Linked DNA regions of Drosophila melanogaster. Changing the gene in region 1 together with any one later gene gives a genetic interaction. Each region holds a gene or a part of one and is shown in the gene's direction. Other genes may lie near its edges. The genes, in order: krz, Dif, fog and mthl1.

Region 1 (8,408 bases):
ACCGTGCGTTCGTTGTTCTCTTCCTTATTTCTCGGTTGGGACACAGACAAAACATTGTCTCCAAGGGTTAACGCTTTAGGCTTAGCCTGCAGAACAGCTTCTGCTCCAGTTGACGTATCAAAGGCAATGAGAACTGATTTATTGCCATTCAAATTAGTGAAACGCTGCAAAGCGGAAAGTCGTCCGAACTTGGCGAACAATGCGACCAAGTCCTTGTGGAGATACTCTATGTGGAACAAATATACTAAGTTTAAATATACTTGAAAAATGAAATAATAAACCAGTTACTTTACCGTTTGGTAGGTTTGTGACAAAAACGATCTGGTTTTTTGGCGTTCCCAGCGGAATCTTGCCAACCTTTACTTTTGGAATTCCTCTATTTTCTTCGGACTTTTCAGAGTTGGCTTTTTCTGATTTCTTGGAAACTGGCTTCTCTACAGGCGCTTCTTCATCATCATCGGATTCATCTACCTCATCCGCGCCTTCACTTTTGGAAACCTCACCAGGCTCCAACTCATCGTCATCATCATCTTCCTCATCGTCACTATTGTACTCTTCATCTTCCTCAGCCTCGTCGTCAATTAAGCCCGCTGCCTCTTCGGTCTGAAAAGTAGACAATTTTCTTATAACCGCTGATGGGAGAGCACCAATAAAGACAATTTTTTTTTTATCGATATATGAACCGAGTCGGTATAAAACCAGAGGATCGTGGGTTATGTGCACTCGTCTTATAATTATAAAATCTTTACAACCACGTGGCAAAGAAAACGTAAAATGGATTCTTATCCATGCAGATCTATATATACGTGCATACTATGCATGTAATGTTAGCCATATCCATTCAGAAGACCACGTTTTTTTTATAGCTTACCTCAAAGTCGCTGTCGTCCCCTGGCTGCTCGTCATTTTGCTCCTCCACATCAGACTCGTCCTCTTCACTGAACTGCGGCACTTCTTTAACAGGCTGTTTTCTGGATTTTTTGGAAGGCGATTGGGGGACTACTGTCTCCTCTTCCTGTACCTTTGTGGACTTGGTTACCCGTTTGGCCAAAGGCTTTTCCTCTCCATTCGTAGCTTTTTTTCCTTTGACGGTGACGGCTTTCTTTTGGGCCATTTTGACAGCTTTTAGAGGTTTTCTGGGCAAAATTAGCAAAGTCAAGTTTGGACTGAACAACGCGTGGTTTCGTTCAATAAAATGCACGTGGAAAAGAGGGACAGAACAGTGTGACCGTTGTGCTCTATCGGTGCTAAGGCTGATTAAATAAAGTATTTTAGAGACTTCAATCTCATTTTTATAGCTCTATTCCACTACTAAATATGGTTTAAAGTCCGTTCATGCACATGTATACATATAAAAATAATAAAAGCCTTTAAAAAATAAAATAAATATTAAACAGTTTATATAAAGTATTTATTTAAGACTTAGGATACAATCTATGATTAGATATTTACCAACGGTCTGATTTTACATGTGTTTATACATTCCAAATGGTAAGTTTCCTCAATCATCAGCTATGAATCATCTGTTTCTAAAGGAATTTATAATATATATATTATATTTCATTAAAAAGCCAAGTCAACCTGCAGTTGCATTTTATCTTAGTAGGAAACTTAATGTTAATTCAAGCAATTGTTAATGGTATTGAAAGAAAAATTATTAAAAGTCACTTACTATGGGCCAGGGCACACTTAGGAAATATAAATAGGTGCCAAAAATGCAAAATAAATATTAATTATAGGCTGCGATTATGGTACGACCAAACATATATCGGTTTGTTCGCACTGAATTGAAATACCAGAGAAGTACATAATTTGTTAGTATGTAATATTCCCTGGTATTTTTCCAATGACTGTCAAGCAGTGCTGGTAAATGGCGGAACAAGTATACACATAAAAAATTAAATTGCAGCACAAGTCCCGCAACGCACACATATATTTATTTAACGGAGTTCCAATTAAGCAGGAACAGCAGAAAAGCAGAATAACAAGCATAACCGCCAAATAACATAATGAACGGTGGTGGTGGAGGAAGTGGAGGAGCAAATGTGAGCAATGGCTCCAGCACCAATGTAACAGCTGCCGGGAGCACTGGGGGCGGAAGCGCAGGCGACGAGACTGGTGGAGATGCCAGCTCCAGACGCCAGGCGACTCGGGTGTTTAAGAAGAGCTCCTCCAACGGCAAGATAACAGTTTACCTTGGCAAACGGGACTTCGTCGACCATGTCACGCACGTGGATCCCATTGACGGTGTTGTCTTCATTGATCCAGAGTACGTAAAGGACCGTAAGGTTTTTGGCCAGGTGCTTGCCGCCTTTCGGTACGGACGTGAAGACCTAGATGTTTTGGGATTAACGTTCCGTAAGGACCTGTATCTGGCGCATGAGCAGATCTATCCGCCCATGCAGCTGGACCGCCCGATGACCCGGCTTCAGGAAAGGTTAATTAAAAAGCTGGGGCCGAACGCCCATCCGTTTTATTTTGAGGTTCCGCCCTATTGCCCAGCCTCTGTGTCCTTGCAGCCGGCTCCTGGAGATGTGGGCAAGTCTTGCGGAGTAGACTACGAGCTGAAGGCCTTTGTGGGTGAGTCTTTGTGGGTCTGATCTTGTGGGTGTGTCCGTATACGGTGGTCAGTCAAAGTCAAAATCATTGATATTTCGCAGTGTGGCACATACCGTGTTTATTATATATGTTGCAATACATTAAATTTACAAATTTACAAATTTTTCTTTTTTCTTTACAAATTTTTCTTTTACCTTAGAGCAGTTAAATTGCGGGTACTATTGTTTCTGAGAATAAAATAATTTATTAAGAATATGGTTACAGTAGCAAAACTAGCTTTGTTCTTTTCTATAGAAGTTAGACTGTAAATTTCTTATATGTGTGGTTTTGTGTAAGTTAGCGCGTGCATCACGCGGTTGGGAACACAGGGTTAATCAATCCAACTACGTCGGGCTGATGACGCAGCGTTCACCTAATTGAAATTCGACACTTCTAATTGGAATTTGAATCAACCGAAGTTGCAGCGCAGTTAATGCTGTTGTTCGCCTTAACCAGGCGCCGCAGTTGGCGGTCTGACGATTTGTGTGCCAACAGCAAAGATCTTACATAGTTTCAAAATGTTTATTTGTTTAGTTTCTAATCTGTATTTAATAATTAAAAAAAGGTTTAAAGAATTTGTGCTTTATTTTATTAGTAGAAAGGTTTTTGGTTTCTGTAAATTTTAAATTTTTCATATTTTCGTACGATCGCCGAGCTCCACTCGCATATATATTATGTGCCCGTGGCACCCCCTTAATACATTCTCTGTTCAATAAATATTATTACCTATTGCCCTATTTTGTTTACACATTTTTGTGCTTTTATAGTTTCTGTTGGAATTTTATTATTATTCAGCAGCCAAATTGTTTACTGTTATAAACAGAGATTAATAAAATAGCAGCAATTGGCGTGTTGTTGGGTAAAAGAGTTTATAACAAGAACTTAATATTTATTTTTTCTGTATATAAGCCCAAATTCAATTTAAGAATAAAAACAACAATGTTGGAATTTGTACAGTTGGAAGAAACGATTTCTCAGTGCTTCTCTGCTTCCCCTCATGACAATTGAGTCAGCATTTTTATTTACTTTGCGTCTGTTCAATTGTGTATCTAATGTTCCTAGCTTTTATGTTTTTGGGATAACCAATTATATATATTTATGCGTATTTTTAAAGCAATGCTATTGATGATCAATTAAATGAATGTATATGCATATATATGAATAATATATATATATATATATATATATATATATATCCATATGTAAATGCCAGTAATTGTCGGCTTGTGATTAAACATCGTGGAATTCTATACATGATAGACTCAACATCAACGACAAATTTTGTAACGAATCGGACTACTGACACACCCGAGCGTCATGGGTTTTCTTCAACAAACATACATACATTGATGCCATTATTCATAATGTTTATCACTAATAGGTGAGAACGTGGAGGACAAACCCCACAAGCGGAACTCGGTGCGACTAACTATTCGCAAAGTCATGTACGCACCATCCAAAGTCGGTGAGCAGCCATCGATCGAAGTAAGCAAGGAGTTTATGATGAAGCCAAACAAGATCCATTTGGAAGCTACTTTGGACAAGGAGTTATACCACCACGGCGAAAAAATATCGGTCAACGTTCATGTGGCCAACAACTCAAATCGGACGGTAAAAAAGATTAAGGTATGTGTCCGGCAGTTTGCGGATATTTGTCTCTTTTCGACGGCGCAATATAAATCTGTAGTGGCAGAAATCGAGTCAGAAGACGGATGTCAAGTGGCTCCGGGATTTACACTCTCGAAGGTATTTGAGTTGTGCCCCCTATTGGCAAATAATAAGGATAAATGGGGCCTTGCTTTGGACGGGCAGCTAAAGCATGAGGACACCAATTTGGCGTCTAGCACTCTCATTACCAATCCTGCTCAGCGTGAGAGTCTCGGTATTATGGTCCACTATAAGGTGAAGGTGAAGTTGCTGATTAGCTCGCCACTTCTAAATGGTGACCTCGTAGCTGAGCTGCCATTCACACTAATGCACCCTAAGCCCGAGGAGGAAGAGCATCCACTGTTAGGGGAGCGATCGCCACGGGCTAGTTTAGCAGGCGGGGGTCTGCCGTTAGTGAGCATGAGTGACGGAGAAACTGAATCGGCTACTGGCGGGCAGGATGTGCCAACGACAACAAATCTCATTCAGCTGGACGACGACGAGGCACAAGATGACGACATAATTTTTGAGGACTTTGCCCGTCTGCGTCTAAAAGGCGCTGAAACAGAGGCCTAGATGAAAAAGGAATAGATCGAACTATTAATTCATATGAAGAAAATACTACTATTATTTTCGGCATTTGTATAATATAAAAAGTATGAGAAAATTGGGCAACCTCTAAATGTAAAGTTTTATACCAATAGCCATGGTAAACAGTTGGATTTAAGCTATTTTATATGTGTAGGCCATATATTGTAGTATCTATAGGGTTTAAGCTGAAAGTGTACGAATTTTAAAATGTGAAATTGATAAACCAGTCAACACACCAGATCTACACAAAATGCCCACGCATAAGTTAACTACACGAGCGAAGTATTTCGGCCACACCTGTAAAAGTTGAAAGAATTCACAAAATTTGATATGTAAATGTTGTATAATATTTTTTATTAAATGCCCTCTCCCATTATAAAAACGCATAAAACAAAAATTCATTTACAAATTCTAATGATCTTTTTATTATGCCTCTTCTTTTTGGGACATTGTTATTGCTTTGCAATGCATTGATAATTTGTTCGCAACTAATTTAAAATAAGTTTTTTGAGTAGAGTACGTTACTAAAAATGTTTCTAGATTTCTTTTCTGCAATTAAAAAGAAATGTTTTAGGATGGCTTGAGGTTTGGATGTTGTTTTATAAATATTCTTCCAATATTTCAAAAATAATTTGTTTTCAAAATTTATTACTAAAAAATAATAATATTAGAAATATCCATACCCATACCTTGAAACAATGATTTGTTATTTGTCATTAAAGTCGTGCATGCAAAAAAACTATTCTTGAAAAAGCTTTAAAATAGTTTTTAAATTTAATTTTAGCACAAATTTAATTTAATTTAAGACGGCATTCTTGATTCATTACAAACTTTGTAACCCTAGAAGCGAGTCCGACCCTATAAGGTACATTTATTATTTGTTAGGATACCCAACCAAGTCGATCTGACCATTTCCGTCTGTCTGTATAAACGCTGTCATGGCCATTTGTTACAGAAGATTGCCATGACTACTCACACGTAGACAGTTTTTTAAAAGGTTTGAAATTTCTTTATAGCTCTATCACTAGTTTGGGAACGAGAAAATGATACTCTGGTATATCAACTATACCGTTCTCTCTTGTAATTGAAAGTGTAATGGCGAAATGTGGTCTTAGACCCAGTTAAGCCACTTTTAATTTTCTCCACAAAAAATTAAAACAAATAATTTAAACGACAACAAAGCAATTAACTAATGGTGGATTTGGATTAAAAACTCCAGCTCTTTGCTGATAAAACCGCTTTGGCTAAAGCTTACATGAAGTGGACCTTCACAGGCGGAAATAGCTAACATAGACAATTTTCAAACACCTTTGGGAAATACCTTTCGTGTGGGAAATTTTTACGTTGAACACCAATTTCTTTCTTACTTTAATTAACAATGTCCGAATCGAAATTCGCCAACGAAAAATACTACACGAGTAATGCATTCGTAAAACTTATTTAGAGATACAAATTAAAAACGTGATCAGAACATTTCCAAATGTAAACCAAACAAGAGATGACGAAATATGATTTCTTTTATAAAGCACTTTAAAAATACGAATGATTGAAATTGGGGCTTTTAAATTGCGAACTTGAGCTGAAATTAAATTTTATTGCTTTAGGAAATGCTAATACTGTCAAAATTTAAAACATTTTAATAATTTTATTTTTTTATAGGACGTGTAAATGTGAAATTAGTATTAGCTTGATGTATAGGTTCGTACTTTTATTTTTAAAGTGAACAATATTGGAGAAATTATGAATAATAATAAATTAATATTAAGCGCATCACAAACTTGTTAAATGTATACAAATATAATACAACAAATTCAAAAATGTTGGAGCAATTAATATTAAAAGGCATAAATTGAAATGAGAACAGCAGAGGTGTGTGAGTATTATAAATTTATAAAGAAAAAATTAGGGCATAACTTCAAGTGTGAAGCATTTAAAAAGCAAATAATATATGTAAGCTTGTGCCCCAAACCGAATGAGCACTTGAAGAGTTGTAATGATCTTTTCTGCAGTTGAACCACCTGAACAAATACATTTTAGAACGAGCACAACAACTTTTTAACACAAATCGTTGATTTTTTAAAAGAGTCGTCTTGCTTTAGTCATAGTAGAATTATTATCAAATGATTTACCAAACTATTTAAGAATTAAAAATAACAATTTACAGTTAGTTTCCAATAAAGATAATAAATCAAAGCAGATATTGCAGAAATCGCAGAAACTATCGGTCTAGCGATATTATCGTGTTCAACGGGTCCAACTGCAATATGAGCAACATCACTTTTGTACTGTGAGTTACATGTTCTTATTTGTTAAAATGGTGTGATTTTTAAGAAGCTAAGATAACTTTTAAGATAAGTTGTAATGGTTTTGATAATACCTTTTAAAAAATAGCATATATATGTATATGTGTTGCAATTTAAGTGGATGAAACCTTTCATAGCCTGCACAATAAATAGAATATATATATATATATATGGGTAGCGGGTTAAGGTGATAAAACCTTTTAAAGCTGGCGCAAGAAATATTAAAAATATGTCACTTTTATTTTCTAAAAAACGTTTTGGTCTGGATATGCGTTGTATTCAATTTGATAAATATTTGGTTTATTGTGTGTATACAACTAGGCGACTAAATATTTGCCACCGTAGCCAACGCATCAAGCGAGCGAACCAAACAGAATATGAAATACAATACCTACCTACTCATGACTAATGTATAAAAAATATAAACGAAAGTGAAAGATTGAATGTTGTATGTTTAGTGTTGAAAAAAGGATGCAAAGAAATATGGAGAAAGAACATTTTTGACTGACACGTTGGAGCTCCATAAGAGAGGAAAAAAGAGTGGACTTTTGGAAAAGACTATGTTTGAAAAGCTTTAATATTGTATAATTAACAATGCATTGTATATACCACAATAATACATGGTAGCCGAAATCCTTATAAAAACTTTAATTTTTATTTTAGAAAATAATATCAATATAAATTCTCATGCCATGATAATCCCTACCCTCCAACGTGTCCATCAAATAATTAACATTTTACATACGAGCCTTATGCGAACGAAACCATAAATAACTAATGCATTTGCATTGAAATTGCCAACGTATTTTAAAATTCCAAATATCATTACTATACCCGTTACTCGTAAAGTCAATGGTCCTACCAGATTTGTTTGACCCTTAAGTCCTGTCTGTCTGTTAAAAGTTAACTTTAGGAGCTACAGATTTGGGGCTTACATGTGGATTCTAGTAACGCCTAAGCAAATTTTAACCGTTATCCGTGCCGACTCTTAAGCCTAAAATTCCTACCAGGTTTTTTATGATTTAATAGTTTTATAAATATTTTCGGCTTAATTGCCTTAACCTTATTTAAAAAGTTATAGGGCCATACCATTTACGGTTTAAGTTGTCCATGACTTCAGTGTCTAGTATACAATTACACTATACACTATAAGGTATGTAAAAGAAAGTACAGTAACGGGTATCTGATAGTTGATGATTTAGCGATTCTTTTTAATTTTTATATATTTGTCAGTATTGTTGCACCTCTTAGGTAGTAATTAATGATTGC
Region 2 (5,231 bases), on another chromosome or scaffold:
CCCTCTCGTTCCCGCTCACGCGCGTGACCTTGAAGCGCAAATGTGCCAGAATTGCAGGGGGAGTTGTTTGGGCGGGGGTAGAGTCTTTGACTTCTCCCCCTTTTTTTCTTCTCTTCTTCTTCGGGGAGCTTAATAAAGAGTTGGAGATTTCTGTGACGTCTGATATGTTTACTGAAAGTGGCTACTACGTCATGGGGCATTTGTCATACATGTATGGCTAAAAGCACAATCGCAACTAAAATCCTTCTACAGTGATCCCTAGCCATAAAGAGCAAGAAATTTTAAAATAATAGAATAAAAGTGTGGATTACAATTGTAAATTTGATAATAACATGTTCAAAAAGTTATACAAATTGTCGTACTATATTTTCATCTATATCTAAATATTCATATTTGCTCAATAAATTGCTAAATAAATAAATATCTGTTTTCCTAACTTAAAATTTCTCAAACCCCAGAGCTGAAATAGTTTAGTTTATTTTTGCACGTCCTGAGGTATTCTTGGCTTTGTTGCAATCCTATATAGATGTAAATTGCGGCCGGGAAATTTGCTCCCAAAATGCATTTTGTCCGCAGACGAGCCCACGCTACATGAAAACTGTGTTTTTAGTTCGAAATTTTCGTGGGCTAGCAGAAATAAATTATACTATTTTCATTCATGCACAACAATAATGAAATATTTCCACCCGATTGGCAATGTTAACTGCAAATATTTTTCCCCTACGTGTTTGGTCTGCACTTGTGTTTATTTCAATGACTAAAATCTGTCTATGGAACAGAAGCCAAAAATTGAGTTAATAACTCAGTTCGACCTTAGACGTTGGCGAATCTTTTTTCGGTCTCATTTGGGAATTTTGTTGGCGTGAATTAGCAACGTTGTATGGATTTTATAATTTACATTTGCCGAGGGTCGAACTCGTTTCAGGTCTGTCAATTCCTGGGAAAATCAATAAAAACATTCAGCTGTCATACCTATATTAGATAAATAGATCTATTGTTATGCATCTGGCTAATAGTTGTCGATTTTTTTCGGCTTCTCATTCCAGAATGGCGAATGATTCACATAAAGAAAAACTTTTCCTCCTATCTGATCTTATAATAAACCTTTGATCTTGATTTGTCCAGAAACCTGTGCACTATTTTAAACGAATTTTTAATGAGAAAAGAGTTCATGTGAAATAACATCTTAGGTATTTTGAATTTTTATGATATTTCCAAACCATTCATAACAATAAATTTTCATTCCCAGCAAAAAGTACACATTTTTTTGTAAGGGAATCAATGTTTACTTATAGCCGAAAATCGAAATTGGAACACCTGCAGAGCGTTATAAAAATCTCAACACTTTTCCAAATCCACTTAAAAATCTATAACCATTTTTTCTGCTCGATGGCGTCATAGGAACGCACTTGAACACAAATACATTAGAGAGAACGAAACATTGAGTACGCACAACGGAAATGAAAATAAATAAAGGAAAAGTGAAGCAGTTTCGAAAATAAAAACAGATATTGGCACCCTCCGTCAGTTGCGATCAGCAACCATCATATCAGCAGCGGTAACTTTTTATCACGTATACGTATCACGTATACGTATCAAGTATACGAACCGAATGCATGCGATCGCAGAGAGCGAACAGCTGAGAATGGAGCCTGAGCTATCGAAGCCATTCCGAAGCTCTCTTGCAGCCGAGTGTGAAGCGAACCGCTCAGTTTCAATCTGAACTTGGCCGCCGACGGACGTGAAGCGCCGACTTGTTCACACATAGATATCCATACATATATATATACATATAGATGTACATATAACGCATATTGTGCAAGTCGCACGCGACTATATAGCTGCCAGTGTATTGGTTAATTATACGAAGCACGACAACTACAACGTAAACTACAGATGTGTGTATAAATCAATGTCCGCTCTAAACAGGCGGCTGCAGTGTCAATAGCAAAAATTAAACAAAACTCAAAAGTAAAATACATGAGCGGAGCAACAACGTCGCTTGTGGGAGCAACTTTTGTTTTTGTTTTCAATTTCTTCATAATTTTTTTGGCGCGCCTTTTGTGAGTCGCGCGCGATAAGTCCGACACATAAACCGAAAACCAGTCAATCATAAAAGACAAATTTAATCAATTACACGTGTCAACACAACAAAGAGCTAATTCGATTTCTGTCTGACCCAGTGCATTCGGATCGAGAATCCAAATTTAATCAAGCATTTAAAGCAGCCTACCTACTACACCATAAAAGGTTAGCTATAATAAATTTTCTGAAACTATAGTCAGCTAGCTAGCTTAAGGCGTAGTTTGTAAAGTCCCCGGTCCAGAAGGCGGCTTTAGAAACTTAGGTACAGACAGCTTCCCGTGTCAGGTTCGATTGCAATGGCACTGCAAAAAACTACGTGCCAGCAACTCGGCGGAATTCATAAATTTTAATCCCAGATACATAAATAAGTACACAATTTTCCGATGCGGGCAATTACTTATCTAATGCCACGTGTAATGAAATTTGTATTTATTAATAGTGAAGTGAAAAACGGGAATACGGCCGGGTTCACTAGACTGCGTAATCGCAAAAAAAAACGACAAAAAATTTTAATTTTTAGTGTATTATTTTTATTTTGTTTTTTTTGTCCATGCGGGAAATATTTTAAATATTTTTGTGACTTCTTTAATCTACTTCCTGTTTGATTTGAACCTAAACACCCGAAAGATTATAGGCATAGCTATATCAATACATTAAATATAGACTTTGTGCAATACTTCGTAAATATTTATTAAAATATGGTATGTTTTTGCTTATCAGCAAATATATATTTCTGCTAGTGTAACTGCAGTTTTGCAACCCAACAGGCGTATAATATATGCAAATGAAAACAAGAAAGGCGGTTGACTGCGATTTATTAAAAGAGAATAACACTCAGTACGACATTTACTAGTAGTCCCAGTGTTTCTTTCTTGTTTTATTGGTCGACTACGAAAAATCATTAACATACTGGTTCAGATTTGTACATTTGCACATAACATATGCCGGAACTGCACCCTAGAGTAGACATTTCCTCCCAAGAGCAATAATGTATGCAATTATAAACATTATAACTCTTATCTCAAAATTATAGTGCCAAAGCTGTTTGTGACGTTTTCACATTTCAAGCTGTTGTATTGGAAATAATTTAGGCGTTGATATAAAAAATTGGAAGAATATAGCTACTCAGTTAGTCTTTAAATAACTTTCCAAATGTGAAAGAAAATCTGCTCAAGAGGAGCCAAAAAGAAGAGGAATTCAATGGTCAAAAAAAAAAAAATCGAAGCAAATGCAAATATTTATATTAACAAAATGTAAATATTTTTACAACTGAAATCGGCACGGCAAAAGTTTATAAAAATTTGCGGTGGCATCTGGAAGATTTCGTTTATTTCATTTGTAATCAAAGGAATATACAACCTGAACCGTGGAACTGAAACTGCAATCGAAAGACACGAAATGGCATAAAGTCTTTAAGACTTTTGCCTTATCCGCACGCAAAACATTCGGCCATTTGGCCGTTTCGGAATCCATAAAAATAGAATGAAATGGAACAGTCATGGTCAAAACTTACTCAAATATCGATTTATCTGCTCCCAGCCAGCAGCTATCTAACTTGTATTGGGCGATGAACCGATGATGCCAACGGCAGCGGAATTGTTTTCGGTAATTGTAGAAAATAAAACACAAACAAAGTCCGCACTTTTCACACCTTTTGGTCCATGTGTGTGCGATTGCTTACATACAGTATAAAGTCGCAGTCTAGCTATAACTTTGCCAATTGTATTAAGCAGACTTGTTTCCGAATTGAAAGTTATTGTAAATTAAATGCCAGCGGGAGAAGGAAGGTCACAGCCTGTACACACATTTGTGTGTAGGGTGCAAGTCTAATTGGTAAACAATTGAGAAACGGTCAAAACGATGAACTCTGGATAGAGCTGGTTAAATATATGTTGCTAAGAATTATCAGAAACCTTTGAATTACTTATTCTTTAAATTAAAATTTAAATTAAAATTTAAAGAATACACAATGAGAAGCTTCATGTAAGCTATAGTATTTTCACCCACCAGTAATCGATTCAAAACTATTTTTACTGTAAAATAATATAACAAACTTATACTAATTATGTTTGTTTTCAAGAGTCAATTCAGCTTGATCAGTTTATTGAATACTTGTACACTTTTTCGGAAAACCCAAGAGAGCAAATGCAATTGCTTTGAACTTATTTCAATTAACTGATAAGACTTGAACTTTAATCAGCAAGAAGAAAATCCCAGCGGGGCTTTATATTCTAGTCTCCCTGATAACCCGGCGTGAGATTGAGTACTATACCTTATATATATTTCTTTTCATTTTCCGCATGAACAAAAACCAACTAAACTTTAAAATGATCTGTCATTCACATTTACATCGCCAACCAAAGCCCAAGTTCTACAAACAATTCACGCCACCACACAATTTTACAAACAATGCGGGGAAAAATATAGCTGAATCCCATTACGCATACGCCATGTTGTACCGAATCTGAATTGATTGAATCGTGAAAAGTTTTATAGCAAAATAATTAAATGCTGCGGTTTCCTCCAATTTTCGGCCATCGCGTGTCGGTCGTTTTTCTTGGCTGAAAGCGAATGTACGTACGAACGATTTGTCTTGGCCATTAGAATGGAAATGGCTCCAACGCTTGGGTAAATGAGGTCTGGTGCGATGTGGTCTGGCTCGGCATTCTGGGAATGTTTTTGGGGTGCTCGGGCATTATTTACTTGACTGCAAAAATGTTTCCTTTGATTTGCTTGAAAGGCAATGAAAATCGATTGGCTGTACAATTTAACTTTTGACTGCAAATGGGTGGTGATGAGCGAAGCCAACCTAGATGTAACCGAATTAATTACCTTTTAATTAGTTTTATACATTATGATTTTTCAAGTAACACGGCACACAAAATAAAAATAGCAAACGATTCGAGCATTCGACCATTCAAAATTGCCCTAATAAAAGTTGACACCGTCGGAGATTATATATTATTTCGTGTTTATCGTTTTCGTCGTTGTACTATTTACTTATTTTCTTCATAATTGCTGTCAAATGTGACAAATATCGTTTTATTCCCATTCAAAGCTTCGAACTTTTAGCTCCTAACTTAGTCGAATTTGATTCATAATTAGCTGGGAATTACTTATTGATAAGCTTATCAGCAAAAGAAGCT
Region 3 (5,231 bases), on another chromosome or scaffold:
ACGAAGGGAAGACGGCGAAGAATGAGAGAATAGGGAAATGGGGATGATCCCAATTCGTACACTTGGCAAAATACCCTTAGTTTAGTTGTGGTCATTTTTAGTTCCCTAAGCTAACTCTGTAAATTTATTTTTTAAAGTAATGATCTATATCATCTACATAAAATTGCTTTTATTCATGAATTTTAGCCGGAATCACTGCATAAAAAATAAAGGGAATTCACCTTAATCAAATCGAAATTGAAACGCTGTAAACGACAAAGTGGCCTTAATTGGCCATTATGTTGGCCTAAACACCGGCACAGGCTCAAGTGGCGGCTAAAATTACCAAGAAGTGCGATTTGCGATTCAGTGCCCAATGATGATGACGGGGAACAAAACCATGACTGCTATCAACTTCAATTAGGTTTCGAGGAAATCCATCTCCGACTTTCCAGCTTTTCCGAGATATTTTTATTAAGCCGGCCACTCCAGTTAGCCTTACATATTTCCGAATGTTAGTAGTGTCTGTAGGGGTCTACCGAACTCGGACAAAATTGAAAATAAAAATTTTATTTAATAAGGTACATACATACATACATAGTACATATGTAAATAGAAACAAACAGCCAACGGAAAATTACCAGGAAGAGCCGTACTGCCTTTTTAAATTGAACAACTAGCAGCATTCAGAAAAAATTAAAAGCAGAGAACATCATTAATCATCCTTTGCAGGCGGCCAAAAGAGAGCATCTCCCTAATTGAGAACAAGAGAACATAACAGAAGAAAATGTTAATCATGTATGGGAAAAACAAAAAAGAAAAGAGAATTGTCGAGAAGAGTAAAAGGGTATACTAGATTCGTTAAAAAGAATGTAACAGGGAGAAGGAAGCGTTTTCAACCATATATGTATATGTATATGTACATGTACTTGTATATGTACATGTGTATATATGTATCGTGATCAGGATCAATCAGGACCAGTCGAACTGGTCATGTCCGTCTGTCTGTCCGTCCGTATGAACGTCGAGATATCAGAAAATATAAAAGCTAGATTCTAGAGACATTAGACGCAGCGAAAGTTTGTTCCCCATGATGCCACGCCCACAAACCTCCCAAAACTGCCACGCTCACACCTTTGCATAATGTTTTGATAGTTTTCCATATTTCTATGACTCTTGTTAATTTTTATCGATATGATAAAAATTCCCACTCTAATGCACCAAAACTGACACTCCCACACTTTTGAGAAATGATTTAATTTTTTTGTATTAAACCAGTTGTTTTTCCAATTTATAGATATGCCGAAGATATGCTATCTTAAACCGCCCAATATATCCTGCCCAGACCTTAGAGAATTAAAATTAATTTTTTCCCACCAATTTCTACTAATGTTCGTGAAAAATGTTGAAAAGTCTCGTCCCACTTGGACTTGCTGAATAACGGGTATCTGATAGTCGGGGAACTCGACTATAGCGTTCTCTCTTGTTTTAAATTAATGACATACATACTCAAAACAATGCACGATCAAAACAGCAAAATGATTTCTTTGTGCAGTTGCAACTTAAGAGCAATGAAAACTGAGCGCGGCTTCAGCGCGCTCTTTGAAAAGAGTTCCCTAATGCCGCGCATCGGCTCTTTTCTCTCGGCTAAGATCATTGTCGAACGCGCGTACATATACATATATACAGTACATGTATATTTATATCTGACCACTCTCTGTCTGTCGCAGCGACTGCGGCGCCGACGTCGACGCCTGCGACGACACGTTTCGAAGCCGCTTCTCATTCAAAAAACAACTGTGAACGTGATCGGTAACGGTGCGTGTTCTCTTGTCCGCCCGCTACAGTCTCTTCAAAAAAAAAAACTTAAAAGAAATGAGGGGGGAAGAAAGCGGATAAAAATCACCAACAATAGTAGCAAATGAAAAAAGTAAAGTAACACTATCATTTCGATTGAATTTGTAACATAAATTCGATATTTAAGAGACATGTGCAATCGGTCAAAACGTGGCGCATATAACTTAAAAGCAAATAGTAACATGGGAATATAAATTTGTAATATACATAAATATCTTCTGATTGTGTCCCTTAAAAACGTTTCTTCGTGTGCTTTTATTTTATCTAAATTTGACCCGATTTTAATTTGAATTTGAACAAGAACCTAAACTAAAACAAAACAAAAAAACATTCGAATGCTTATCTGTAAAAGGAAACAGGAAAGAGAGAACGAACGAAGTGAAAATAAAGTAGAATAAAATAAAATACATACTACGAGGCATGTATAAATATACTACGCTTTTGTGTTTATACTACATTGTGAAACAGTTGTCGTTGTACTTGTTGTTGTCTTTACAGCAACAGGCGTCCGATAATTTATAATCTTAAAAATATATGTGCGCCGTACATATAGATTCGCCTACTGAAAAACCCGAGATCAACTTTAAAATACTAGTACCAACCATAATTTGAAGCTTAGCTTTGAGTTATAAATATTTAGTTAACGTTATTTCACAATGATATATATTAAATATCTACAATATTTCACAATCTTAAGCTATTTTCGGTGCACATGTAGGCATTATTTTTGAATTGCACTCAATGTTGCATACAAAATAATTCTCTTTCGTTTTTCCCAAACAGGATGTTACCATTGATACCTTTTGAAGTCGATTTGTTGTAGTGTGTTTTTTTTTCGTGTGCGCAAAAGTCTTTGTGAATTATATGATAATACATGTGATACAGTTGGAGAAATAAAATAGATAAATCAACAAAATCGAATACAAAACCGTGTTGTCCTAATGAGCCTAACAACTGCAGCGAAAAATGAAAGGCAGCCAGCGACGGGAAAACTTTAAGCAACTGAAAAAAATTTAGTATCTTACAAGTTTGAACTGGCTCTTACCAGCAAGCCAATCAACACATACATATAAAATTCTTAATAAACCAAACAAAAAATTAAGCTCAACCGCCATCAAATCGAAATTCAAAACGAGCCAATTTGTGGTGTTTATTATTTATTTGTATGCTAATTTATTTTTACAACAACTTGATATTAACCCACAATCAAAGAAAAACAAAAGTGGGGAAAAGACAAAGAAGAAGCAACTAAAAGCAAAAGCAGCGCACCTTCTTCGGCATCTTTGTTTTGGGATATAAAACAGCAAAAGTAAGTGGATTGTATGTATTTTTATTTAACGTTTATGTGTGTTTTATAATGCCCATCGAATAACCCATTATTACTTTGCGCTGCGAAACTTGTTTCTTAATGCAAATTAAATTGAAAGGAAGCCAGCGAAATGTATACAGCCCAGAAAATTTGGATAACAGATTCGAAACCCACAGTATCTCGTTTCTGGTACTCCTTATTATCCTGCTTCATTATTTCCTGGGTATCAGGATGTCTCGTTTTCGTGGGCTTATCCTAGCGGTTTTTCCGGTCTCACGCCCGATGCTGACCTTCTGACTCTGCGGATGTGGGAAATCTAGCCATTCTGCAGATACAGAGCTGGCTCTTGAGATCTTAAATGACCAAATCGGGAGGTATTTAGTCTAATGCTTTTCGAAGTAGCTATTACGCGTCCAAATGGATTCAGCATGAATATGTTTGGGCTCATGCCATTGACTGACGAGTAGGTATAGTTTCCCTAAAAGCGAACTGATAAATATTAAAAGCATTTTTAATCACTTCTTGAACAACAATAGACACGTGCACATTTCTCAATCTGGTCAAGCGCCTTACTAGTTATTGCAAAAACCAATTTCACGACGTGACCACAATGGATGACAACTGACCTTAGTGTCATCATGCAACCAAAACAATCGAACTACACCAATTCGAGGCGCATTAGGTGTCTTATCGGGGTTCGCTCTCAAACATTTGCCAAACAAGTGAGTTCACGATTATGTTTACAGAGGTGAGTTCCATGAGTTCGCTGGTAATGGACATGATGATGATAATGCCGATGAAGTCACGCGGTGACTATCAGCGCCAATGTGGCAAAGTGATCACTTCCGCTGGACGCAAAATATATTGCGGCTTAAAATGGAAAACTAAAAGCAAACCATGAACGAATTTCGGTACCAAAATTTTATTCCCGCATGAAAGTGTAACCAAGTTAATTGCATTTAACCGACTGTCCAAAAAATAAAGAGCTGGAAGGGTGGCCAAGCACTCAAGTGACTGGGAAATTGTTGACATGCACACTGAGAAAAATGGCCATATTTATGTGTGTATTTAGTAAATTTTTCCGTGGACTCGTTCTTTTATTTGTTTTTGCGCAGACATGAATTACAAAATGTTTTTTGTGCAAGTTCCAAAACGCCCGCAAAATGCTCCAAAAGTCATTATCAGCAATAGAAAGTGTTACAGACGGCACGAAAATTAAATTACGGGTATTGTGATGGTACGTATACATACATATGTATGAATACTATATAGATAGAGTTCGCTTCGATTGCCTCGACTATCAGATAGCCGTCACTCAGCCATAACTCCTAAAATAATTATCCGATTCAAATTATCTATACAGCTATTGTCTTCCGGACATACATATATTTATGCCTATGTTGATACCCCCCCGGGAACGTGGAATGAAATCAGCAACCGAAAAAAAAAACGAATCTATCACGAAATTATTTTCGAGGCTCTTGAGTCCCTTGTGCCCATGGCTATGCAGCCGTGGTAAAATTGATTCAGCTGCATCGGGGCAAACAGCATTAAACGGTCGATCCATAGGGCAGTACGTGCCTGAGGGCCCAAAAGCCGAAAACCAAAAACCGATGGCAATATACGACCTCCACTTACACGAAAAACTTGGGGATTATTTGTTCTGGAATTTCTGGAATCTATCCTATTCCCATTCTGTACAATGCTTTCAAGGGGATTCCAAGAAATCGGCTAATGCTGATGTAAGAAGTTCCGAAAAAGTTCGTACCTGGAAGTACTAAATACAATACATATGTACATTTGGCGTAAAAGAGTGCTTGTAAAAAGTTGAGTCATACGGACTAGAAATGTATGGATGTATGGAGCAGAAGGACAGGAAAACCCGTATGTACATACATACTCGTATAATATATTGTAACTACACCGACGAAAAGCTATCCGAAATGGAAAACAATGGCATATGCTATGCTATGCTACTATCTAACCATCTCTTTTACATAAGTTCTGGTCCAGAAGTCGTGCAATTGCAGTATTTACTTATCTGGTTTCGTCATCATTTGCCCATTCCATGGCATTCATTCAGTTA
Region 4 (6,824 bases), on another chromosome or scaffold:
TAGCTCCTCTTGGCAATGTAAAAAAGTGGTAGATTTATCAGGATGCTGCTCATATTAGTAATATGCATGTGCGAAGAACAATGTGGACAACAGCTACATTTGGCGTAATTAACTAGCCAATTTATACTTTTACCGAGCCTTCACATTGTTAATGGCTTTCCTTCTATTGCTAAACTATCAGTATCAGTTTGGTATTCTGCCCTTAGAAGGTGCATAGTTTCATTAACAATCCATGTGCTAAGTGGTTGCTTGCCTTGCAGAAATAAACATTTTATATCTATACACACTGCTCATGTGCGACAGCATAGTTCATTGAAATTTAGTCATGCGGACTTGGTAAGGTTAATCTTTAGATTTAAATCATTCCCTTTTTGGTGAAATGGTGGAGCTGCCTTGCTTCAATATATATTGTGTCTTGTTTTCTATTCCATTTCGACAAATAAAATCTGCGGATAAAGAACTTTCTGATATACTTGAAGTAAACTTCTTGCATTGATTGAAGACTAAAAAGACGTAGCCTTTTATTTTGTCGATCGAACATTGTTATACAAATTCAAAAGGAGATGGCCAAAATCTTTCAACAAGTAAGGCACTAATAGCCGAAAATAAGTTAAATTAACAAAGAAATCAAGAAGCCAAGCATTTGTATAAAATCAAAGGCACAAAAATTGATTTGGAAACCAATTATGTGTAAAGCTATCTGTGTTTGCATTTCTTGGAAAATACATTTGCTAGTCTTGGCGACGTCATTTAAAGTGGCAATCTTCCGACTCAAGTTCCCAATGCAGTAAATCCACAAAGTACGCAATATTATTAAATATTTTCGACTTATTTTCCAAACTGCTCATATAAATTGTCAGTTCAAAAAGGGGTATCTTTGTTATAGAATTTATTCAAGAGTTTGTGTGTTTCTTCTGACTATGAATGTTACGGAGCCTTAAGACTAAGCACTACGGCTAACGATGCTCGACGAGATCGGGTTCCGAGGCGGGTGCTAGACCCTGTCCAGGGCCTCCACCATGACGATGCTGTTGCCGCGGATAACCTGGCCAGGTGGGAAAAACGAGTGAGTCGATAGTTTATGGCAGGGTATGCTGCGCATCTTACCACCATGCCGATGTTGTTCTTCGTGTTGTCCTTGCACTCCTCCACCGTGTCGTCCAGGACCACGTTCATGAAGGGATCGAAGCCTCGCAAAATACCGGTCACCGCGCGTCCGCCGTTCAGTTTCAGCATCATGCGCTTGTCCATGTATCTGCAAGTTGTATTGTTAATTGCATTTATGGAGCGCTATCTTTTTCCCACATGGGTTGCACTTACTTTTTCACCTCTGGGGGATGGGCCTTCGACATTTTGATGGTTTAATTTGCGCAAAATGGGAAAATTAAGTAAAAACGCGGACCGCAAGCTAGAGATGTCACTATTGATTGGAGCTATACTATCGTCTTGGTCACTCTACCAACTGGTCACACTTTCGGGCGGGAAAAATATTTTTCCGCCAAATTCGCTGGCTTTTAAGTGCTCACATAAATGAAATTTTCAAATAGCAAATAACATAGGAATAATCCTTCTAAATCGCAATATAAAAACATATATACAAGGAGTGGTAAATGACAGTATTCTATTAATGGCAAAACGATTTATTTAAACAGACGTCGCATCCGCATAAACGATCTTTCACACTTTTTATTAACGGTTAGTATAAATAAAAAAAAACATTAATCCTTAGTTTATTTAACCAATTTTGTTTGCTGAAATCGATTCTTGAAAGAGAAGCTGACATTTTTTTTATATATGCCTCCCTACTTCAGGCAGTGCGAACATACCGCATCAACGCGACTTGTAGCGGCCGTGTGAAAAGGCTATTTTGTGGTTAGCGCAGATCTGCGCTGCAGTGTGACCCCGGCTACAGGTATTTCGGCATCGCACAGGGTCACACTCGCCCAGGCACCCGTATAAAATCCCCGCCCCCCTGATCGACGATAGTATTTCGAAAAAAACGCGAGGAAAAGTCTGATGCGCGTTAAAATCGGAGCGCAAATCGTGCATATATTTTTTTTTACACACCGCGCGCCGTGTTTACGACTGAAAACGGAGACTGACTGAAAAGCCTTGGCGCACAAGCACGCAATGAAAACGCAACGATAAGAATGTGATATTGTGATAAATACATGATTCGCTGACAACTCTATTTTATATTGGAATGCATTCGAAATCGAACGCAGCGCAGCGTGTGTTGTTTACTTAACGATTTTCGGTGTTTGTTTGCCCAACTTGCGGCGGTGAAATTCAGCATTTTCTGATTTTCCATTTGCCAACGAAAGAGAGGAAAAGTGAAAAGTGCTATTCGACGAAGCGAAACGGAACGCAAAATCAAAAGAAAAACAGCATAGCTAAAGCTATGTGTAGTACATAGCCACATAAATTGCAAATTGAGGCCAAGAGACAAGAGAACCTGAAATCCACACAGATCTTGACGAGTGAGCTAACGATGGACAGGAGTCGGAGTAGCAGAGCTGCCAGCAGCAACCAGTTCATCAGGCCATGTGGCCTACTGACGACCGTCATCCTGCTGCAGACGCTTGTGTCGATGAGTTTGGCCATCGAGGAGATGTCGCCACCACCGGCCGCCCCGCCACGTCCATCGCCGCCGCCCACCGTGAAGCTCAACAAGTGCTGCCATTCGGGCGAGTATCTGAACGATGGCACCTGCATCGCCGGCAGCGAAGCCCTGTGGCTGCCCATGGTGTACTTGGTGCAGCAGCAGCGCTTCTTCGAGCCCCATGGCGCCAGTCCGCGATTCTTGAAGTTCCTGCCCAATACGAGACCCACGTGCCGAAAGGACCAGACGACGGAGATCTTTCGCAGCCGCGGAGCCAATGTGATGCTCTTTCCCAATGGCACGCTCTATGTGCGGGAACGCGCTCTAATGGTCCAGCCGTCGGATTACTGTGTCGACTGGGAGGTGGCCGTCGTTTGCTTGAACGACAGTCAGCCGATCAATGCTCTGGAGGATCCCGATTATGCAGCCAATCCTCTCGTGCAGCAGGAGCCGCCCAAGGCTAGCCTGCGACTGAGCAAGTGCTGCGGCAAGTGGGGCAGCTATAACACGCAGCTCCAGAACTGCGATCTGCAGCCCAACCATCAGGCAGCCGTCGATGGACTGCTGCGATTGTCGCCGCAGCTACCGGAGGGCAGCTATCAGACTAGCTACGGCCTGCCCGACTGTGGCCAACCCGGTGGCTACTCCATTGCCGGTGATTGGCAGGATGCCAAGCTGGATCGGAACACGGCCATGCTCCAGTTGCCGCACAAGAACCTCAGCGCCGGACAATACTGCCTGGAGCACACGCAGCGCGAGGGCGAGGTGAAGATCATAGCCTGCCAGCATTTGTTTAGCTCCGCGGCAGGAGCCGGCATCCACGACGGCTCCATTGGAGGCACCATCGAGCAGGCCAATGGCCAGAATCTGCAGAAGGCCGTCCTGACTGGTGGCATACTTGTGTCCATTGTCTTCCTGTCCGCCACTTTGGTGGCCGGCTTCCTGCTGCCCGCTGTGCATCATGCGCTTCATTGGCGCTGCCAAATCTGCTATGTCACCTGCTTGCTATTCGGCAAAATACTGCTGGCCATCGAGGAGCTGAGCTCCAGCCTGCAGCCGGGCAGTGCCGCCTGCCATACGCTTGCTATCACCATGCAGTTCTTCTTTCTGGCCGCCTTCTTTTGGCTGAACACCATGTGCTTCAACATCTGGTGGACGTTCCGGGACTTTCGGCCCAGTTCGTTGGAACGCAATCAGGAGGCACTGCGTCGCTATCTGTACTCCCTGTACGCTTGGGGCGGTCCTCTGCTTATCACCTTCGTGGCCGCCTGCGTGGACCAGCTGCCGGAGACGACGCTACTGCGTCCGGGATTCGGACAGCTCTACTGCTGGTTCGACAATCGCAATCTCTCGATCTTCGCCTACTTCTACGGACCCATTGGCCTGCTGCTGTGCGCCAATATAGCGCTCTTCGTGTCCACCACCCATCAGTTGACGTGCGGCCTGTGGAAACGGGACGATGTCAAGTCCTCATCGGAGAAGTCCGCCCTGGGACGCGTCTGCCTGAAGCTAGTCGTCGTTATGGGTGTCACCTGGATAGCGGACATTCTGTCCTGGCTAGTGGGTGGACCGCATGGCGTATGGTTCTTCACCGACCTGATCAACGCCCTGCAAGGCGTCTTCATCTTCATCGTGGTGGGCTGCCAGCCGCAGGTGTGGACCGCCTGCCGCAGGATCTTCTGTCCGCGATTGCGTCATGACATCACCAATACGACCAACGGTGTCCAGCATTCGAGCAGCTCGCAGGGTTTGCCCTCGATGGCCGGCGGCACGGAGATTACACAGAACACCACCACCACCACCACGACAACCAACACGACCGCCACTCACATGCCCAGCAATCCGGCGGAGGATGAGGTACCGGAGAAGGCTCCCATTGCCCCCGTCGCACCCATCGTCAAAATGGAGACCATTTGCTAAACGTAAGTTGAACACCCGATAGCCAATGAAGTGTGCTTGTAAAGAGATAGCTCTGTTTGCCAGCGCGCAAACAAAGCGCCTGCTGTTCCCACTCCCAGCGCAGTTTGCCAAGTGGCTTACAAAACGCGGCTTTAAGCACACACACACACACACACACACTTGCTGATAGACTTATCGGCCTTAATGGGCTTTAGGGCCCAGCCGGGAATGCAAAGTATCTCAATGAGCTGGCTGGCTGGCTGGCTGGCTGTTTGCTCGCCGGTTACGCCATGCATCGCAGCAGTTTCGATCCTATAAAGCGCACGTATGTACAGGTGGGGCCACTTCAATATCACTAAGCAGCTTTAGCTTCAATAGACTTCAATCGGTGGAAGGTTTGGTATTTGGACCCAAGAACCTAAGTTTCTTATTAAGTTTTAGTCTTTCAAAAATAGCGTGCTAAATAGAGGGTCTTAAATTAACTCGAAAATGATTTAGAATCCGTGTAAATTGAATTGACACATTAGCTGAATTTTCCGGTATATAACCAAAAATGTCCGGACGATATATGTGTCGTAGAAGATAGTGTGATAATTGCGCTGTCTGTGGATTTAACCCAAATACCAATGAGGTATTCACAAAATGTGAAAACAAATAGGAAACCCCGAATTTGTCATGCGCCGACAACTTTCGAGAACCAACCACCACCATATGAAGATAAAAAACAAAAGAAACTAGTTTGGTTTTCTATGGGGGAAAACGATACGAACTTTTCAATTCAAAACCTTTGGAGTTTCAACGGTCAATGGCCATGTTGGAAAATACCCTTCTCTATAGGACACTATTCATCTCACACCCCCCATGTGGACTATACGCTATCCAGATGAAATTTAAGGGTTCGAGATTTCCTGACAACTTGCGGCTACCTGGAGCGTTTTTCCAACCAGGCGCCGGTTGAAAAAGTCTAGCACGTTTTCGTTTCGTTTTATGGTTTTATAGGGGGAAATTTACGTATTTACGTAGGATAAGAAGATCGTCCTGCGATGGTCAAATAGTGACCATATTCTTCATTTGCATGACCGAAATTGTTTAACAACATGCGCCAAGTTTACGATTTCGCGTGCACCACTTGAGTTCGAGTATGGTCATAAAGATGAAAATGTTGCCGCTGTGTGCCGTTATGTTTTTCATCGGAAAACTCTGACGCCGGGCCGGGCGAATTCGATTTTTGAATTTCCTGTCGATTTCCACATTTCCACATGGCCATAAAGTAATCAGCGCAACCCTTGACACACACGCAAGCGAAGATAATGGAAATCGTTGCTGGCATCCGTATCGGTTGGATTCAAAAAATGTGTGTTGCCGAATCCGTAAGGGAAAATCGAGTTTAAATTGGACTCACCGGCGACGATGGCGATGGTGATGGTGATAAGCACACAACACACCATCGTCTTGTTTGGATTTCGGCCCATTTACTTATTTACTTGTTACTTTGTTAGTTTGTTAGTTTGTTAGTTTGGTCGCCTCGAGTGGTTTTGACACATCTCCCAAATGATCCAATGGCAAACATGCGGACAGGTCTCGAACTCGGCACAATCTACAATTATCTAAAAAGAAACCTCTGTGCGGCGATCATAAAGTTTTGAAAAACAATAATTCCATTTTCGGGCACTAAAAAAAAAACAGGGCAACTTGAAATCTAGCATTAAACTGGTGGCTTAATGTTCCAATGAAAAGATAAGGATTTAACAATAAAAAAAAACTTTTTTTTTGTATGCACTGCATGTTGATAGCAACATTAATGAAAGAAACTAATCAATGAAGTTTCTGTTTCTCTATATTAACAACAAATGCTGCTTTGTTTAGGCCATGTTTTTGTTATTAGAGCCCAAGAAACATTGGTTTGCATTGCACAAAGGCGTATGGAAAATGTGTAATTACTTCAGTTTGTAACATTTTCGAATATGACAGCTGCTGGTGGCAGTTAATTCTTTGCCCTCGCGTTTTATTGTTTGTTACTTTTTACTTTTATTTTTTATTTTTTTTTTTGGGCCCTGATCGCGTCATACTTTTTGGGATGCGTGTCTGTCCGGGTGAACAGATGTGCTGTCTGTCTGCCATTCGCTTGTGTGTAGGTCCGTGTTGGAATCAGAGGTTTTGCCCAAACGAAAGAGAAAACAAAACAAACAGTGGGTTTTTGGCCCATGGGCCCATTCGATGAGATTGCGCAACCGAGTTAAATGGCCTGGCCCCTGAAAAGCTGAAAACCGAAAACAGAAACATGAAATCTGAAATCTGAAATTGTGGAAATCTGAAATTGTGG

Evidence for each region.
Region 2: of krz (region 1) and Dif, changing one suppresses a phenotype caused by changing the other (phenotypic suppression), as found in Drosophila melanogaster (one study listed by BioGRID).
Region 3: of krz (region 1) and fog, changing one suppresses a phenotype caused by changing the other (phenotypic suppression), as found in Drosophila melanogaster (one study listed by BioGRID).
Region 4: of krz (region 1) and mthl1, changing one suppresses a phenotype caused by changing the other (phenotypic suppression), as found in Drosophila melanogaster (one study listed by BioGRID).

What each region holds. Positions count from the first base shown.
Region 1 is NT_033777.3:32,045,441-32,053,848, reverse strand, and holds the start of krz (kurtz), read left to right. Parts: upstream 1-1,855; 5' UTR 1,856-2,009; coding exon 2,010-2,580; intron 2,581-3,979; coding exon 3,980-4,821; 3' UTR 4,822-8,408. Other genes in the region: mod (modulo), read right to left, coding at 1-226, 294-603, 872-1,114.
Region 2 is NT_033779.5:17,424,675-17,429,905, reverse strand, and holds the start of Dif (Dorsal-related immunity factor), read left to right. Parts: upstream 1-1,706; 5' UTR 1,707-2,250; intron 2,251-5,231.
Region 3 is NC_004354.4:22,851,721-22,856,951, reverse strand, and holds the start of fog (folded gastrulation), read left to right. Parts: upstream 1-1,757; 5' UTR 1,758-1,909; exon of another isoform or gene 1,910-3,145; intron 3,146-5,231. UniProt on the Drosophila melanogaster protein: Coordinates cell shape changes during formation of the ventral furrow and invagination of the posterior midgut primordium, by inducing apical constriction of cells in spatially and temporally defined manners.
Region 4 is NC_004354.4:16,638,986-16,645,809, forward strand, and holds the start of mthl1 (methuselah-like 1), read left to right. Parts: upstream 1-1,982; 5' UTR 1,983-2,491; coding exon 2,492-4,522; 3' UTR 4,523-4,524; intron 4,525-6,824. Other genes in the region: SNRPG (small nuclear ribonucleoprotein G), read right to left, coding at 995-1,045, 1,108-1,255, 1,321-1,352.